Coturnix japonica: one gene and its partner. The protein of the gene in region 2 interacts with the protein of the main gene of each other region in a biochemical or structural test. Links are inferred from orthologs where the notes say so. Each region holds a gene or a part of one and is shown on either strand. Other genes may lie near its edges.

Evidence for each region.
Region 1: the proteins of PARD3 (region 2) and JAM3 form a complex in vitro, tested with the Homo sapiens proteins (2 studies listed by BioGRID and IntAct, with this or other methods). The link is inferred for Coturnix japonica from reciprocal best matches to the Homo sapiens genes PARD3 and JAM3.

The regions. Positions count from the first base shown.
Region 1 is NC_029539.1:2,091,576-2,095,544, reverse strand, and holds the start of JAM3 (junctional adhesion molecule C), read right to left. Parts: upstream 2,811-3,969; 5' UTR 2,730-2,810; coding exon 2,684-2,729; intron 1-2,683. UniProt on the Homo sapiens protein: Junctional adhesion protein that mediates heterotypic cell-cell interactions with its cognate receptor JAM2 to regulate different cellular processes. Plays a role in homing and mobilization of hematopoietic stem and progenitor cells within the bone marrow.
Region 2 is NC_029517.1:12,121,577-12,125,088, forward strand, and holds part of PARD3 (partitioning defective 3 homolog), read left to right. Parts: intron 1-3,323; coding exon 3,324-3,512. UniProt on the Homo sapiens protein: Adapter protein involved in asymmetrical cell division and cell polarization processes. Seems to play a central role in the formation of epithelial tight junctions. Targets the phosphatase PTEN to cell junctions.

The sequences.
Region 1 (3,969 bases), on a different chromosome or scaffold from region 2:
TTGATTGTTTAGGTGAGGTCTGGCAGCACAACCTGTGTTCCTGGTGCAAACCCTCAGTGTGGGGATGGATGAGTGAAAAACAACCCAGCAGGCGGGGAGACCCGGAATTCAACTCTTAAAGGAAAATAAACACATCAGTGAGGAAGCAGAGTTCACTACCAGGGCAGCATCTCCATCCTCTGCTCCTTCTCCCTACAAAAACCCCACATTTTACTCTCTGGATCTACTTGTGCCTCAATAACCAACTAATTCCTGACAGCATTCCAAGCAAAAAGGAATGCGCTGGTGTCACGTTCTTTGTCAACAGCTGTAAAGCTGATGGGATCCAACAGCTCTGCGGTGGTGGTGCCTGAATAGGAACACCAAGCCCTCCCCAGGAATTCTTTGGAAGACATTATTAAGCATCTGATTTTGGCACTGCTCTCGGAGCTGATGGTCCTGCTTTCTCACTGCCTGCTGAAAGGAAAGCATGGCTGCAAATAGCTCCTATCAGCAAGGAACAACATCGGTGCTGCAGCAGGGCCAGCAGCGTTTGCACCAAGCAATTCCTGGTGCTGACAGCTGAGTGGGAACAGTTGTTGGTGGCTGGGACAGATGGACTTCATAGCTTACACAAAGGGAAGTAAGGACTTCTGTTTGCTAGGTTGAGAAATGGCCTTTGCACAATTCAAACCTCAGAGATAAATCAAAGGGAGATTGGAGCACGCTGAGTTTGGCACCGCAACGTGCCAAGGACCTGCCTCCCCATTGAGGACGTGCTTTTATTTTCATCAGGAAATACTTGTGAATTTTGGGAAGGGCTGCACAGCTCTGCCCTCAGTCTGACACGTGAAAGCTTCCAAATCCAAATGCTGGAAGGTTGCAGCAGAGGCATCGAGGCAGGACGCACCATAGATGTTGCTTACAAGCTCTGCTTTCCACCACTGATGCTGATAATTTCCGCTAGCATAATTACGGCCATGGCATTTCCCTCATATGCAGAATCTTTAGATGCTTTTAGTGCCTGGAGCGGGGTACACACTGCACTCTCCATGCTTCACTGCCTTCTGTGCTGTGGCAATGTTTTGAGGCCATGACCAAGAGTTGGGTCCATTCTGGATAGAGAAGCACAGAGGCCATCCCTGCTCTATAGTCTAAGAAGCACATTGAGCTCCTAAAGCAGTTTTGCAGCATCTCACTGGCCTTGTTGCCTTCCTTCTCTGCCAACCAGTGGGCTGGCATCAAACACAACCCTATGGGACCACACAGCAGCAACCCAGTGCACCTTTAATGTAGGATTCCTCCCGGTTCACTAATATGACTATAGTGCAACCAGGTGTGAAAGCAGCGGGGTCTGCCTGCATTCAGCAACTCCTGCCTGTCCAAAGAAGCACCCAAGTAGCTGCAGCTCATTTCCAGGCTGCTGTCTTTTAGGCCGCATTCAACAGGATGCTCAAGCACTGCTCCAGCACAGAGGGAGGAGAGGAAATGCCCCTTGAGCCCAACTGCAGGAGAAGCTGAGTGAAATCTGCTGTTTTTCCTCACTCAAATGGAACACCCAGATCCAAAGTTGGGACCTGGATGACTGTGATGCTCCGGGTACTCACAGTTCAGCCTCAAACCACAGCAAAGCAAACAGAGCCCCCCAGTTGCACTCCTCATCCCAATGGGTGCTGCAGTGGAACGGCTGTATCTTCTCACCCCTTAATTTTGGAGGGAACAGAGCCCAAATCTTAACTTAATTCAAAGCCCCAACGTCTGAAAACCATTAGGGACTGAAGAATTCCTTTGTCCTTAGATAAACTGGCTGAAATATTTCAATGCACTCCAGTCTCGAGCTGACCCAACGCAGTTATTTGTGTGCACAGCCCCGTGGATCTCAGTGGCTGAACTTTCCAAGTCAGTTGCTGATTGGCACTCTGACCTCCCTCCATCCCTTCTCCTTCTGTCGCCTGCCTGGAAGGGGGGAGTGGGGGGTGGGGGGCAATGGGAGCCCACCGGCTGCTGTCCCCCCCTCTTCATCCCCCCGCTATTAATAGCCAGACAACAAATGAGCCCGAATTCATTCCTGAGCGGAATTAGCAAATGTTTTTGCAATTAAAAACTGCAAACATTCATGCGGGCCCCCGGAACAATAGGAGCCTGTGCCTCGGCTTGAATAGGGACCAGTGTCCGCCCTGCCTGCCTGCCGAGGCTGCACATTCCTGGCACCCTCAGCCCTGGACCCGCACCTCGCTGAGCTGCTTCCCCCCCCATCTCATCCCATCCCACAGCTCAGCGCCCTTTGGGGTCCTGTTTGGGGTAGAGGCAGCGCATCCTTCCCATCACCGCTCACCCCGGGATGGGACGGCGGCAGAGCATCCTCACTTCGCCGGGACCCCGATGAAAGTAACACATCCCTCCTGTTCCCCACGATCAGAGCAGCACATCCCCTTTCCTCTCCGGGTTATGGGCAGCGTATCCCCCTCTGTCCCCGGCACCAGCGCACCGCGTTCCCAGCCGGGACGGCGATCAGGGCCGTCTCTGCTCGGGATGGCGATCAGAGCAGCGCATCCCTTCTTTCCCCGAGCTCGGAGCGGCGCATCCCCGTTCCCGACCCATCTCCGCGGCACCGCATCCCTTTAACCCCCCCTCTGCGCATCCCCCCCAGACCCCAAGGACCCATCGGGCATCTCCGGGCCGATCTCCATTGCCCGGCACTCACCGAACAGGGGCAGCAGCAAGAGAAGCGCCGGCCGCCGCAGCGCCATGATGGGGTGTGCGGAGCTGAGCCCTGCGCTGAGCCTGCGCACTGCCCCGACGGGGGGAGGATGATGAAGGGGGGCGGCCCGGGGGCGGGGGTGCCGCTGATGTTGCTGCGGTAACCGGGCGGGGAGCTGCGAGGATGGAGCCTGGCACGGAGGGGCTGCGGATGGGGCGGCCCCCGGGGTGGGGATGGGTTCGGTTATGGGCAGTGCTGGGCGGTGGGGGGAGGTTTGAGTGCGTGGAGGGCTGTTGGGGGGGGGTGTGCCCTGCTAAAGCTGACTCGTGATGTGCAATGAGCGGCGGTGCGAACTTTTGGACGAGTTAAAGCGAGGGAGAAACGCAAACAGACAGAGCTGCATCTCGTGCTGTGCAGAGTGAGAGCACCCCGAGTCTCTGTACAGTCCCCAAAAGCATCTCAGAGCCTTTTCCATTAGTTAACGAGAAGCAAGTCCCTGCTCCATTTGATCCCCTGCAAGACCAAGGATAAGGGGATGTGGCTCTGAGCCTGATGGGTGTCCCATTGCATGGAGCAGAACCAGATGGACTTTAAGGTCTCTTCCACCCCAGATCCTTCTGTGATTTGAAGTCAGGTTGGATGGGTGCCGGCTCGTGCGTCAGTGCGCTGTGATGGGGATGTAATTAAGATGCTGTTGAAAATCAAGCAGCTGGAATGAAAGCCAAGCTCTTCTCTGTACCACGAGCTCGGCAGAGCGGGTTGAAATTAAGGGATGTAAAAACGTATTTAACTTGATAACGTGGTGGATCTAACTCTCAGTGCTAATGAGGAGACTTAAAGGGCTGATCTGAGCCTGGTGAAATTAATATGAAGGCACTCAGTCCTAATGGCCAGATGGGACACTTCAGTGATGATGCGGGGGATGGACTCGCTCAATAAGACTTGATGGCTTACAGCCCAACAGCACCAATATTTGGGCCGTGTCCCCATTAGCAAAGAGTCATTTTAACCTGTTTCCTTTGGACTGAAGGGATAGAGAGATAAAATCCAACAGCAATTAAACATCACTGAGCCACCAAGTTCCTTCCCGACACCAAGCAACCACCTGGGCAGGGAAAGCAGCAAAATGGATGTGAACTCAGAGGACAAGAGTGGGGGATGAGATCTGGAATATCACCTCACTTCTATGCCCACCCCTGTGTGCTGCCCCACGGCTGTGTCAGGGCACAGCAGAGCCATTGGAGATGTGAAAAGGAGTCACGATCAATATTATACGATATACTGTGCCC
Region 2 (3,512 bases):
AAAACATAGGTAGTATGTGTGGCAGAGGGGCCGGCTCTTCTAAATTAACTTACTGTCTTTGCAAAGAAAAAAGTTATTAAATGGCTAGGAAAATCAGATCGGTGTGTCCAGTTCTGGGACAATCTTTTTAGAAAGTATGTGAGAGGAAGTGTATGAATTTTAATGGTTGTAAATAAGTCTCATTTGTGGAGAGGTGCGAGTGTTGAACTTTTACAAGTCATTTTGACTGATTTCTCTCTCTCTCTCTTTTTTTTTTCTCCTAAATACCTGAAATAGCCGACTGGAAGCAGAGTGTTTATCTTTAGTGATGTGAATGAGGACAAGGCATTTGAATTGGGAGAGATCAGCAAAGCTTTCTAATCTTTTGCTGAATCTTAATTGCTAGAATCCACAGCTGTATTAAATATCACAATAAGGGGCCTAGAAACGTAGTGGCAAAATAGCTTCACATTAAGTAGCTTTGATTCCTCATGTGCATCTTTTACATATTATGGCCCAATTAGGAGAATAGCTTCATAATACCTGTTTGTGTACTTCTCTTTAGTACAGTGCAGTCCATGAAATGACACTGGTTTTTAGCTTTAGTTGATGCTTAAAGTATACTCCAATTTATTTTTTTGTCTTCCATATCCTGAATGGGGAAGGGAGCGGGAAGGTGGGGGAGAAAGTAGCAGTACCAAAACAAGTAAATTCTGCATTTTGCAGCAACCTAATGTCATTATTGCAACTTAACAAAAATAAGAAGTTTCATTTGCAGCCTCGGCTTGAATTTTAATTGGGCAGCATTTGCATTTGTTCTAAACGCTAGTAATTAGGAGTATGTTAATTGCAGAGTGAATGCTCTGCATAAAAGTGAAACAAGTTTCTTCATGTTCTGCCTTTTTAAGAAAATGGAAATCCATTTACTCCAGTGGAAACATGAGTGTTTATTCCAAGAGAACAGAAATCCTGGTTCACAAGGCTCATTCGAAGCCATGGAGTTAACTGTGAGCAAAATGTATATGATAGACAAATATTTATTGCAGCACAACTGTGGAAAGGAGCCAATACAATCTTCATAGAATATGTAAAACAATAAAAGGAAGCATTGTTATGACAAGTAGTTCGGCAATCAGCACAGCACAATACACTTAATGCATATTTAGGCTTAAAATAGTGTATTGTCATATGAATATGAACAATCATAGAACAGTTTTGTTTATCTCTGGAATTCTAGCAATGCAGTACCAAGTAAATAGTCAACTTCAGAAGTTGTCAGATTTATGCGTGGGGTTTTTTTTGTTTGTTTTTTGTTCTTTTTTTTTAAAACTAATTATGTTTGTTTGCAAGTACAATCATTTAAATGCCTGGTTGGTTTAAATGGAACAGATTGTAGCTATAAATTAACATGCAAAAAATTTGCATCACTTTTCCAAAGTAGTTTTCCACTACTGTTTTAATAACAATGAAATATCATCCCCAAATTTGTGGTAGAAACACTTTCACCAAATAAAGTCCAAGTACAGCTAATACAGAGATGGGTATGGGAAATGCCTGTTAGTTTTCTGAAATAAAATTATCCTAATTTTAAAGCTGTGCCTACAGCTGAGAAGTTGTGTCACCTGCTTATCTCATAGCAGTCCTGAAGACAAGCCAATATGAATTGCTGGGAAGTGTCTTTTTTTCTTTTGGTTGATTTGTACTTCAGAGTAATAGTTGATATTCCAAAGTGGTTATTAATGTTGATATTTATCTGACATGATATGTTTCTCTTGAAAAATGTTTATGTGATCTTGCAGGGTTGGATAATATTTATAGAAGTGCTGGGAGATTCGTTGAATAAGTCAGTTGGGCAGGTCTGTGTAATGTAATATTAAAGAATAAACAATATTTTGCAGGCAAGTATCAGAGAGAGAATGTAGAATATCTAGTGGCTTTCAGCTGGTGATTTGTAGACTTCTCAGCTTCAGTGAATTACTGGTATGGCAATCATGAAAGATGAGTAAGAAGAGCAAATTTATATTCTACACTATTTTGTTTATGAAATTTTCTAAAGAACTGCACACTTCCATTAGCTGTAGAAAAGTCCCTGAGGTCTACCAATAACAGTACTAGTAGTAATAGTAATAATAATAATAATAAGCATGTGCTAAAGTTAAAAATAATTCTTCCTTCCAGCTCTGTCATGGCCTTTTCCAAATCTTTTTGTGTATATGTGTATATTATATATATATATATGTTTATATAGTTGTTTGGAACCTGTAAGAGCTACAGGAATCAGTACAGAGTATGTGCCTGTGATCCTAATTGCTGCCTTGTTCTGTCTGTTGGAAAACTGGGAAGTGATGCAGCCCTGCTTATAATGTGATGAAATAAAATGTTAGAGCTCCTGAGAGATCACAGCTTCACCAGCCATGCAGTATAGTTGTTGGATATGGCTTTAAGTTATGTCAAAATGGCTTCACAATTCTAACTCTCATGTTTAACATATTTTCTTTCTTGCTTGCTTAACTGCTCGGGGAATTTTCCGTTCCTGATTGCATTATTTCTTTTGATCATTTTATTTCAGAGATTCTGAAACATGTGTGCCCTGTTAAATTTAACCTCGGGTATACTTTAGGATTCTCAGTCTTGGTCTTGGATTACAAACGGAGAAGAAACACATTACCTGCTCTTAAAATGTTTCCCATGTTCCACTGGGTGGAATCTCCCCACCTGAGCCTCCCAGGCTGCTCCAATCTCAACCTGTATTACTGCTCTGGAAGAATAAAACCTATGATGCGTGATGTGTTTTAAACTATGCCAGGAAATGAAGTAGTGCCGCAGAATCATTATGGTATTTGCAGCATAAGAAAAAGTCTATTAAGGCTTCTATTGAGGGTCAACAGTCCATAATGACTTTCATATTTTTATGGGAATATTGCTAAGAATTTATTGACAGGGCATGCTACACAGCTGTTGTTTCTTCCTGCAGACATTTCTGAAGCTCTCCTCAACTGTTTTAGATGCTGAAACAAAAGGATCCAATTACCATCACTTAATGGGGTTCAATTAACATCTTCCTCATAGTCTGTGTGTTATTCAGAGTGCACACCAAACAAGAATCAAGTTATACAGAATGTCCTGCAAAGATGAATTTCTTATCTTTAGGAGTTTATGTACACCTGTCCATTCCAAGAAAAATCCTAATTAGTGAATACTGATTTTTAAAAAGAATGGGAATATTTTGCTGTTGTGCATATATCCTGCTTGAAAATAATTTATACAATAAACAAAAAAAAAAAAACCAACCTGCTTTTGTTGTTTGTTCTTATCCCATGTTGTTTCTTATTGTGTGCTTTCAGTGGAGGAAGACACAGAGGAAAGCTCAAGATCTGGTAGAGAGTCTGTTTCCACAGCAAGTGACCAGCCATCCCACTCACTGGAGAGACAAATGAATGGAAGCCAAGACAAAGGTGAAAGAAAAAAGGCTGGAAAGGAAAAGAAGAAAGATCGAGATAAAGAGAAGGATAAAATTAAGGCAAAGAAAGGAA